Linked DNA regions of Arabidopsis thaliana. The protein of the gene in region 1 interacts with the protein of each later gene in a pairwise test. Each region holds a gene or a part of one and is shown in the gene's direction. Other genes may lie near its edges.

Evidence for each region.
Region 2: the proteins of AT1G80000 (region 1) and AT4G28230 interact in a two-hybrid assay, tested with the Arabidopsis thaliana proteins (one large-scale study listed by BioGRID).

Annotation. Positions count from the first base shown.
Region 1 is NC_003070.9:30,090,766-30,097,910, forward strand, and holds AT1G80000 (CASC3/Barentsz eIF4AIII binding protein), read left to right. Parts: upstream 1-2,041; 5' UTR 2,042-2,429; coding exon 2,430-2,896; intron 2,897-3,207; coding exon 3,208-3,307; intron 3,308-3,472; coding exon 3,473-3,678; intron 3,679-3,763; coding exon 3,764-4,443; intron 4,444-4,666; coding exon 4,667-4,769; intron 4,770-5,007; coding exon 5,008-5,127; intron 5,128-5,527; coding exon 5,528-5,580; intron 5,581-5,711; coding exon 5,712-5,772; intron 5,773-5,903; coding exon of another isoform or gene 5,904-5,913; exon of another isoform or gene 5,914-5,949; coding exon 5,950-5,977; 3' UTR 5,978-6,140; intron 6,141-6,225; 3' UTR 6,226-6,558; downstream 6,559-7,145. Other genes in the region: AT1G79990 (coatomer subunit beta-2), read left to right, coding at 1-6, 108-214, 455-584, 718-883, 1,162-1,184; FRS8 (FAR1-related sequence 8), read left to right, coding at 6,800-6,886, 6,991-7,145. UniProt on the Arabidopsis thaliana protein: Core component of the splicing-dependent multiprotein exon junction complex (EJC) deposited at splice junctions on mRNAs.
Region 2 is NC_003075.7:13,995,158-13,999,423, reverse strand, and holds AT4G28230 (uncharacterized protein), read left to right. Parts: upstream 1-2,116; 5' UTR 2,117-2,225; coding exon 2,226-3,434; 3' UTR 3,435-3,645; downstream 3,646-4,266. Other genes in the region: AT4G28240 (Wound-responsive family protein), read left to right, coding at 1,185-1,445; NDB1 (NAD(P)H dehydrogenase B1), read right to left, coding at 3,773-3,860, 3,935-4,054, 4,139-4,260.

The DNA of each region.
Region 1 (7,145 bases):
ACCAAGGTTAGTGGTAGACACATCCGATGCACCTTGTGATTGAATTTCAAACCTTGCCTGTTGAGATATCCACAATTTTTCTTCATCCTCTGTCAATCTGGATATAGATAAGTCCAAAGGCTGCTGAATCTCTGGCTGATCCCGAAGAGTATCCCAATCTCTTTGAGGAGTGGCAAGTCGCCCTGTCCCTTGAAAATAGAGCTGCAGAGACGAGGTATCTTTTCGTCGTTGCCGTCATTAGCTTATTCTTAAAAACAGTGCTTATGAGGAAACCTTTTTAATTGAATTGTGGGACTTAAGCCATTTAGAGTCATGTGTCTGTATTACATAGCAAGGTAGCCGTCATGTATTTGCTTATAATTTGAATTTATACCCGTATAAACATAAGCCGAATGTCGATTTCATTTTTTCAGGATCCTCATAAACAAAGTATTTTTGTTGACTTATCTTGCAGGGGCGTCCATCCTCCTGCTGGGGATTATTGTAGTCATGCAGACAGAGATCATACAACTTTAGTGGATGCTTTTAGAATTATGCAAATAGAGGAAGAGGGTCGACTTGAGCAAGGGGATGTTCTCGACGAGGTATGCATGTTTACATTACATGCATTGAAGAGGATTGTCTTTTACCCATGATATCCAATCCAATGGTCTTGGCCATGGTGGACAATGGTAGGATCATTAATTCTACTGTCGCTGCTTCATTTGTTGTGAACAGGTTGGGGAAGAGGGGGAAGATGGAGAGGAAGAGGAGGAGGAGGATCGTCAGGAAGAGAGTAGTGATGGGAGACAGCAGAATGTGGAAGAAGAGGCTGTTGTGGTGGACGCTGACTCTACGGATGGTGCTGTGCTAGTTAATGGTAACGAGTCTGAAGAACAGTGGGGTAAGATTAGTGAAGGAACCGCATCAGCCTTATAGCATTTGTGGTTATCAATTGATTATAAGATGTCGCTGCACCAAAATATCCTTTTGCCATCTGCACATATATCATAGGATTTGCGTTTGCATCTGTCCATCAATGTTTCCTCATCTGTCTGCCTCCCATCTTCGTCTTACTGATCATCTTACTTTTGATGTTGACTGTCTTTTAAATAGTGCTTCTCTATGCCATTAACTTTTTTATCAATCCGTGGACTGATTAAATATTTGTTTGTTGTACAGTTCTAACACCGCCACAAGAGTAGGGTTGGTGAAGAGTGAAGACATACACAGATAGATATTTTCTTGGCTTTGAAACTTGATACATTCAGCAGAGAAATGAGGCAGCACAGAGAGAGATTAGTTTCCATTGTTAAAAAACTGATCTATTGATAGCTTCCGCTTTGTGCTTTTAATACAGATACATATTAAAAAAAAAGGGGGTTTTGGGACTCTTATGTAGCTTTAACTTATGAGAGATTTCACCTGTAGAATATCTGTTTTGAACTGAGATTTCACCCATATAATATGTTTTGACTTTCGATTCAATAGGTTATGTAGTTGATATCTTTTTTTTTTTTGCAAAACTCAATAGCAGTAGCAAAAAACTTAATTGGAAATAATCAAAGTGAAGGGATAAGTTGGGAAAGAGCCAGAGGATAACGCATGGTGCATTATTATTAGTATTGTGGAGGAGACGCATCTCGAAACATCTCTCAAAGCAAACAAGGACCCAAAACAAAGTTCCTTGCATTCTTCCACTGTCCGTAATCACCATCACCATATCATTATTCTTCTACCCATTTTGTCTTGGAAATGATTTTAAATTTTCTTGTTGCTTCTTACTGCAAACTGTGTATAGGTTCAACTACTCCATTGAGTTACACACTTGCATGCACCTATGGAAGTTAATTTTCCGGTTTTGATTGATATTCAAGTTGTTGACCAATGGAGTTATATACCCTTGATTTATATAGAAACCACATGTTTTATTTATATTAACATGGTCACTTTTGTCAGGATTAATAGACAACAATAGTTGAGAGAAAAAGTGATAAGGTAGAGCTAATTTGTATTAAACTTATCAATTAGTATTGTTGGTTAAAAAAAAGTTAATAAAGTAGTCAAGTTGGATAATTCCCAAAAACTGGGAAAAAAGAACTCAAGCGTCAAATGTTGTAGGTGCATCATCATCAGTCTACAAGTAGTAAAAAACCCATTCGATTTGATAAGAAGACCCAACGGAAAGAGTCTTCCCGTCTACAAAGTAAACCCAATCAATCTTAATAATCTTTAAGAGGTTTTTTCTTATTATAATTATCTATCTCTCTATCTATCTATCTGCGGATCTCTCATGAAGAAACACTGAGGAGATTCTCTCGCTCTGATCTCCTGGTATCGTCGTCTCTCTCCGTAGAGATATACTAGTTTGTCCCATATCCGATTGATTGCTCTATTCAATTTATTCCTCTTCTAGGTTTTCGGTTTGGCCCTCCGATTTAGAGGGATTGATGGCCCCTGATGGCGTTGAAGACTCCGACTATGAGAGTGATCCCGACGAGTTGAACCGCTCCTTGGCTACACGGAGGAGAGAAGCCAGCGATGATGATGAGGATGATGAAGAAGCGGACGACCATGATAAGCTGCGAGCAGCAATCCAGATTCATTCCGATGAACACAGTGGTGTTGTTGTTGTCGACTCTGATGATAATGAAGGATTGCACATAGAAGATAGTTATGGTGATGATGACGACGAAGAGGAAGATGGTGATTATGGACAAGTTGATGACCATGTCGAATACATTGCGGATAATAATGACAAGACAATTGTCGCCGGCAATGGGACCGATGACTCTGCCGCCACTGATCTTGTGGATGGAGAGGAACAAAAGAAGAAGGAACCTTTTGCAGTGCCTACTGCTGGAGCTTTCTATATGCATGATGACAGATTTCAGGAATTGGATGCCGCCTCTAATAGGTAAACTCTTTTTGATTCTATGAGGAGGTAGTGTTTTGTCCAAACTATGCAAATGTATCTATCTACTATTGAGGTAGAGTACATTGATAGGTGAAATTAGCAAACGACTTTCCGTCATTCAATCTCATGATGTACTTCAGAGTTCAGATAGATTGGAACAACTGCTTTGGTTTTATGTTTTAACTTTGATTGTGAATCTTTATGTATGAATCTACCCGAGATGCCATCACACTGCTATTTTTCCATTTAACATTCTGTTTAGTTACATGGTAATGCCAACCGATATAGGTTTTCGTTTTTTATTTCTGTAGGCGAATGCGTGGTGGTAGGAGGCTCTGGCAATCCAGAGATGAAAGAAAGTGGGGACATGACAAATTCGAGGAAATGAATACACAGAAACAGCAATATGATGTACTTTTCTCTGATCATCTCTCTTTCTCTTTCTCTCCTTTTCATAAATATATTTGTATTCATCGACTTGTTTCCTCTTGCTGTGTTTATACATTTGCCACCTCTTTTTTCTTTTTCCTTTTTTTTTTCCTTTTGAAAGCTGATTAATTAAACTTGTGAACATAGAGGAGGACTTCGAGAGGCCGAGGCAGAGGTCGTGGTCAGGGTAGGGGTCAGGACCGTGGACAGTCTCGGGGGAACAATTCTAAAGAATTTACTGGCAATGGACACCAAAATCAGTTTCCGAAGGCTGTCACGAGAGGGAGGGGGGCCAGAAGATATGAGGTTGCATTGAGAAATGGGAATCAAGCACCTTCTGTGCAAACCAAACAGTGAGTCCTTAATTTTGTTTCCTCTCTAGTCAACACATGAAGGCTCTAGGTCTCTAATTGTTGTGTCTTTTTACGGAATCTTTAGGTCCCAAAATTCGTCTGTGGAAGTGTCACACGTTGATTTAGGGCGTCCACCAACAGAAACAGCTACCTTAGAGACTGAAGCCATCCAAGCCAAAAAGAATGTATTTGCTTCAAGTTTAAATTCAGCTTCTCCTCCATTTTATCCTTCAAGATCCAACAATAACTTGGCACAAAAGGATGTACAAGCTGGCATGGGTAGGCTGCACATTAATGAAAACCCTAATCCGACTGGAAAGAAGTTTGGGAATACAAAATCCAGCTCCTTGTGGGGACGCACTGCTCAGACTACAAGTCATGGTAGAGGTGTACCTCCTCATGGGCAAGTGCTTTACCAGCAATCTCCTAATCAAGGTGACAAAGTTTCTTCGCCGATGCAAATCCGTGGAATGCCTAAAGGCACTGACCAGAGCTGTACTCAACTTCCTGGTCAGGTTTTTAATCAACATTCGGCTGTTATCAGTTTGCTGCCTTCTTCTCCTCCAAAAACCGGATCATCAGAAAATCCGTATCTTTCTGGTGAAATAGAGTCAGCCGTAGAAACAGGTGCTTTGGTTGCCAAGGGAAAAGGGTCTCTCCAACCTAGTGGAAGGGGATCTTTTATGTATGGAGGGACACAGTTTATGGGCCCTGCCGGGATGGCAGCTGGTCACGGCAATCCAAATTTCCCTGCTTTTCTACCTGGTAAGTTGTTCTTGAATGTCATTGTTCATCCTACATTGTAATGGTTGAAAGACATCTTTCAGAATCAATCTATGCATGCTAGTGAAATTGAGAGCTATTGATGCTGAGCCGCTTGGCCTGGTTGCCCATGTCTAGGGCCGCTTGAGAACGGCACCTTTTTGTACAGGTGCTAATATGCACGCCTGACTAGTTTAAACTTGTTTGTTTTCATTTTCATGTTCAGTTATGCAATTCGGTGGTCAGCATGGTGGGGTTCCAACTTTTGGAATGGCTCTTCCAGGTTATTTCCAACCAGAACATGGTACCGGAAATCCTGAGATGACATGGTATGCAGTTCCACAGCTATGTTTTAAAAGTTATATATTTGGTGCATTCTTAGTTGACTTGCTGCATGCTTTTGTAATTTGAGAGGATGTTTAATCTTGTAACTAGTCTTTTACTAGCCCAAACAGAACCTGAATTATTGCTTTCACTCGTCTGCTGTTTGTTTTTTGTTTGATTTCCCTATTTCTCTATCTATAGTAGGTCCTTATTACTGCTATTATTTTCTTAAATTATTGACAGGCTGCCAATTTTGGCTGGCCCTGGAGCATTAGGGGGTTCATATTGTCCACCTTATACTGTCCTTGATGGTTCTTACCAAGCAGACAAACCAGGGTTACCTTCCTCTGCCGGATCGTCCAGGTTTAGAAATAATTTTCTCAGTATTGTTAATCAACATGTCATTTCCATATGCATATGTGTAGACTCTTTGCTTTTTACCTTAGAGGAAGAGTAGTATGGGAATGCAGCTTTAAGCCCTTAACTAAGTAACGTATGTGAGATTTTAGATTTGTGGTTCCTCTTATTCTAGACCCACTGCAAAATGCTTGTTACCTGTTAGATTTACATTTCTTAAGTGCTTAGATTAGTAGTTTCTCGACTATGTACACCCAGAAACATGTAGTTTTCATTAAACAGACTCACTTTCTTGGTTGGGCACTCATGTAACCATGTCAATCATCTCTGATTATGAGCGTCTAGTAAAGCATATAATTTGAGCTCAAGTACCCAATTACCTTATATTTTTGATTTTTTGTTGCAGCCAAGAGAACAGTTCCAATAATCCTAATGATGAAGAGCCCATGGAGAGACCTGGTAAGTAATAACTCTTGCCAATTAAATGGGGTTGTTATAATGGATTCAGAAGATTTTGTTGTGTTTTGGCGAATAAGAAATTTGAATGATTACATGGAGAGACTGATTCGTATGGGGGTTTATTGATGTAGAGGTTACGAACAATGGGAATTCTCAACGGTCAAATAGCAACCCAAACAAGCAGCCTCGTAGGTGAGTTTTGAAGCAATCTAGTTTATTTATCGGTCAGTGTTAGTGTGACGTGAAACCACCTTGAAATCAAAGTACCACAGGAGTAGTTGGATACAGATATTTGTGGAAATGAAATGTTAATATTGGTCCAGGATGAAATGAAACACTAACGAGCACATGTTGACGAGGGATGTGCAGATACTCGGAGATGAGCTTTAGCAAGTGAGTAAAGAAGAGTGGAAAGGAAGAAGGTCATCTAATTTGACTAAGTGGAGTGAAAGGAGGAGGGTGAGAGAGAAGAGCTCCTTAGGAGCAGCAGGCCCTTGGTGCTTCTCCAACTGCTTTATGAAGCCGTTTGGGCTGCTATTATTGTTACCTATTTTTATTAGGTACGCAATTTCTCTCAAGATACCAATTGAAGAGAGGTTTTAACCACATTATAATTTGAACTTGTGTTTGCTGTTTTGTTTTCAGGAGGTTGTTGTGCAATTGAAAAGAATTTTTGTTTTGTTTTCGTTGTTATGAGAGCTTGAGCTTGAGCCGTGGGCGTCCTTCATCTGTAATTTATTCTTTTGTCCGTTTGGGTTCAAATTGATATTTTGTAATGTTGATATGTGTTATTCTGTTTTCGTTTGTCAACTTCTTTATCAAAAGTTGTGTGCCCTATTCGTACGCCTGCGAAGTCCCCCCAAGAATTGCCCATGTTGAGTTTTGATGGTAGTTAGTTGTCTATGTTTTATATTTTACGCAAGGGGATAGTGGTGGTGCTCAGTCAAATTTACCCGATTCGTGAGAAATGAGTCATTGAGGAATTGTTACCATATATATAAAGACATGCCTCCGCTCTGGTTATTTAGTTATGCGACAAAAACAAAACAGACCGCATAGAATAGATGCAACAAACCAAGTGTATAGAAACTTTATTCCTTGGCGCAGCAAAAAAAAAAAAAGGGATAGAGTCTCCGTTGATTCAGGTAGCTCAGCGTCCTCTGAGATGAAACGATTGTTGTTGTTTGTTTGTTGATTTTAGTTTTTAGTTTAGTGGAAGATGATCGGTAATAGCGTCTACATCTCACCGTCACCGTCACCGTCCGACCACTCTCTCTCGCCCAACCCTAATCTCTGCATCTCGGCGGTTGGTTTCTACTGTCTTCCTTTCTCTCTCTCTATTTACTACAAATTTTGATTTCAATTTGGGTTTCCGATTTCGATTTCAATTTTGAATTTGATGGTCTTCAGATGGAAGAGCAGCTGGTTGTTGATGATGATGATGATGACCTTGCTCCTCCTCCAATCCCTGATCTCGATATTGACCTTGAAGATGATGATGACGCCTGTTGTCACGGCTTGCTTCATATCGCACCTAATCACGAAGAAGAAACTGGATGCGACGA
Region 2 (4,266 bases), on another chromosome or scaffold:
GCGTTTTAACTTGACCATCAAACATTGAGATATACAGTCTATACAAGTTAATAGTCATGGTTATTATAGTATTATCTGACGGATTCAAATTTGACATATAAGAATCGGGGAAAAGAAAATGTAGAACTGGTTATAGCCAAATGCAAGAAGATATGTGATGCAATAAGATAGTTTGACATGAGCATAAATGTGATAGACATATGCTTAGATTAGTAGAAGAAGCAGACAGGGCTTATCTAGTATAAGTGGGATAAGCATAATATGTGAACGGCCCACATCCTCACAAAGCCAAGTCCAACTATCACAAGATTCACTCATTCCACTAATAAACGTTTTCAAATTAGAATGACAGAAGAATATGATAGTTAAAACTACTCATTAATATATTGGTGATAAAATAAAATAAAATAAAATAAAATTAAACTACTCACATATAATTGGTTGGATTAGTCATTAAAGATAGCACTTAGCAAATCAAAGTAAAAACAAATACTCACTACTAATAATAAATTAACCGGAAGCAAAGGGACAAGAAGTATTGATGGACAGTAATATCACGTGAAGGGGCACGTGATGACCCAATAATCGGTTAACACGTAACCAATCCCCTCGTGGGACTCTATCCTAGTCTCTAGGCACCACCCCACCCCTCACATAAAACCATCGTTCCATTTTGGTTTTAGGCCGACCTATCGGTTTTTCATTTTCGTATAAAACAAAACAAAACAAAACAAATTTACATTCAACAAAAAAAAAAAAAAAAAAAAACCAAATTACAAAAATAATTAAGAATGGGGCCCACATGAAGGGGTCGATAATTGAAGCAAGGGTGACTCATCTTGAGGATAGGACCCTCTAAGCTCGCCACTTGTTTCCTCATTACTCAGCACTTTCAATTTCCCCCGAGATATTTCACGATAACTTAACCATATCGTACCGTATCGCTTTCCTATACCTGGATCCCACTAATCCATTGTGCACGGTATCGCTTATTTTAGATCTTTTTGAATTTACCTATTTACCCTCACCCCAATATCCCTCTGGCTATAAGTACCAACCTCATCTCTTCATTTCCTTCCTACAAAAATCGAACTAATCTTCCTTTTTAACAAAAGCTTCTCAAATCTTTCAAAGGTTTCCAATTTACGAAGAAAGGATCTACAACATATAATCACTATTAAAGAATGAGTTATCTGAACAAAGTGTGGATGGCAGCATCGTTCGTAGCTGTTCAAGGAAACGCCGATCACGGCGTCAAGTTAAAAAGCGGTCTCACCTCTGCTCACCGTCTCCAACGAAGACTTTCCTCCGATCTCCGTCCTCTCGCCGCCGCAGATCTAACCGGCGACTCTCTCCCTTCGGAAGAAAGACGTCGTACCTCTTCTTCCACTCCCGATGAGTCTCTCCGACAAGTCATGTACCTCAACTGCTGGGCTCAAGGCTAAATTCAGATAATGATGGTCGTGGCTCGCTCATGAACTCCGCTGAATCAGAATTTTTTTCTGATGCAAACTGTATATAGTTTGGTTCATCTGTGGTGGTTGACTCGTGCTTATGAAATCGCTTGAGTCGGATTTTCTGGATGCAACTGTATAGTTTGGTTACATCTCTGTGAATATTAGAATGTTCTAAAAGATCAAAGCAAGCCTTGGATTATGAGAGAACTCTGTTCATTTTCTATATCTTAAAACATCGTTCGCTCACCAACTTTATTACAATCTGGAATCTTGATTGCGATTACCACTAATTTCAACTTTATCCACAGTAAAATACGATTCTAAATTAAACAATAGTACTAAAATATTCCAAAACCATCGTTATCCAAAGAGACAGACAAGTCAGTCACTCCATAATGCTTTTATTTATTTATCTATTGTGGTTGTCATTATTGAGGTAGGTCCTATAATTCATCTTACGAGCAAACTGAAATGTTATATTCGTCGGGCCAATTGTGCGAGGAACAAGAGGCCCACAACGAGATCAGCTCTTGGGCTATTTGGCCCATTTATGTAACTTGGCTTTGAATGAAATCGGAGCGTGGCTGCTTAATCCAACGGTCCAAATCTGACGACGCTCCTTAATGGAGTAATGAGTAACGTCTCCTTCATTTCCAACGGTCAAATAATCCTCAAGAAATACTCGCTTCTTCCTTCTTCCTCCTCAAGTGTCCAATTCTTTCTCCAAACCCTAAATTTCTCGTAGAAGAAGATCAAATCGCTCTGAATATGACATCAATTGAGGCAACAGAAACGCTTAACGCTCCTCCAAAGCTTCAGATCTGGAACAACGCTGCCTTCGACGATGGAGATTCTCAAATCACTTCCGCCATCGAAGCTTCTTCTTGGTCTCACCTCAACGAATCATTCGATTCCGATTGTAGCAAGGAGAATCAGTTTCCGATTTCGGTTTCCTCTTCGCTCCAATCCTCAGTCTCGATCACCGAAGCTCCGTCAGCAAAATCCAAGACCGTGAAGACCAAATCCGCCGCAGATCGGAGTAAAAAGCGAGATATCGATGCAGAGATCGAAGAAGTAGAGAAGGAGATCGGACGATTATCGACGAAATTGGAGTCGCTCCGATTAGAGAAGGCGGAGCAAACCGCAAGAAGCATTGCTATACGTGGAAGAATCGTTCCGGCGAAGTTCATGGAATCATCTCAGAAACAAGTGAAATTCGACGATTCGTGTTTTACAGGATCGAAATCAAGAGCCACTCGTAGAGGCGTTAGTCTTGGACCAGCGGAGATATTCAATTCCGCGAAGAAATCTGAAACTGTGACTCCTCTTCAATCAGCTCAGAATCGACGCAAGTCTTGTTTCTTTAAGCTTCCTGGAATCGAAGAAGGTCAAGTGACGACACGAGGTAAAGGAAGAACGAGTTTGAGTCTGAGTCCGAGATCTCGCAAAGCGAAAATGACGGCAGCTCAGAAGCAAGCAGCTACGACGGTGGGGTCAAAGAGAGCTGTGAAGAAAGAAGAAGGAGTTCTCTTAACAATCCAGCCTAAGAGGCTATTCAAAGAAGATGAAAAGAATGTTTCTTTAAGGAAACCATTGAAACCAGGAAGAGTTGTGGCTAGTAGGTACAGTCAAATGGGTAAAACGCAGACTGGAGAGAAAGATGTTAGGAAAAGGTCGTTGCCTGAGGATGAAGAGAAAGAGAATCATAAGAGGTCGGAGAAGAGAAGAGCTTCTGATGAAAGTAACAAGAGTGAAGGGAGAGTGAAGAAGAGATGGGAGATTCCAAGTGAAGTTGATCTGTATAGCAGTGGTGAGAACGGTGACGAGTCTCCTATAGTTAAGGAGCTACCTAAGATCAGAACGCTTCGTCGTGTGGGAGGGAGCCCTCGTGATTCAGGTGCTGCTAAGAGAGTTGCAGAATTACAAGCCAAGGATCGTAACTTCACTTTTTGCCAGCTTCTGAAGTTTGAAGAATGAATGATCCGCTTATCAATTTGAGTAAAATCCACAACTCTTGTTGTGGTTACTTGATTGTGAATTTGTTTGGTTTTGATTTTGTTTTTCGGCTCGCAGAGCAAGAATCTTTGTTGGAATGCTTAATGTCTTTTCTAAATACACATTAAGATTGTGAGTTTTTGTTATCTTTTGTAAATGTCAGCTTCATGAAGAAAGATTCTTTCAAAAGGTTTTTGCTTTGCCACTCACAAACAAGAAGTTTGGCCACAGCTTTGTGAAATTTACACCAAAAACAAACGAAAAAGAGAGAGACTGTATCTTGGTTTCCTCTTAAACACATTACAAAATGCAGTATTGAGTCAGATGCGGCTTGAATCCCTCCCGAATATGTACCTCCTTGTCCAGTCCGACACCACCAGAGCCCTCGTTCGCCAGCTAACTTGCTTGCTGCATCATTCATGTTTCATGTTTCAAATTCTGTGCATTTACTATAATGAATAAAAGAGTTTCTCAGCGTTTACCTGGCATAAACAGAATACCAGAGCCACTGGGCGCTTTTTCCAGCTGAAACCCAGTCTCCAGGTAGTTCAGCTGCTGCTTGGTCCCCTCCTAGTGGAGCAAATTGTCCAAAGTGCTTGTACCTGTAATCAAGCGAAGAGCTTTCATCTCTATATCTTGGAAGTTTATGAGGATGCAAGGTCCTGAGTTCATTAGATTAGGCATACTGGAAGGGGCGAAACTGATGATGCCCGCCAGTTCTGAAGCGCTTAGGACCTTCAGGTAGCTCTTTACACTGCTCCATCCTGTTGAAGCATTTTGCAAGATAAGCACCTTGCTGGGCAGCGACCTATGC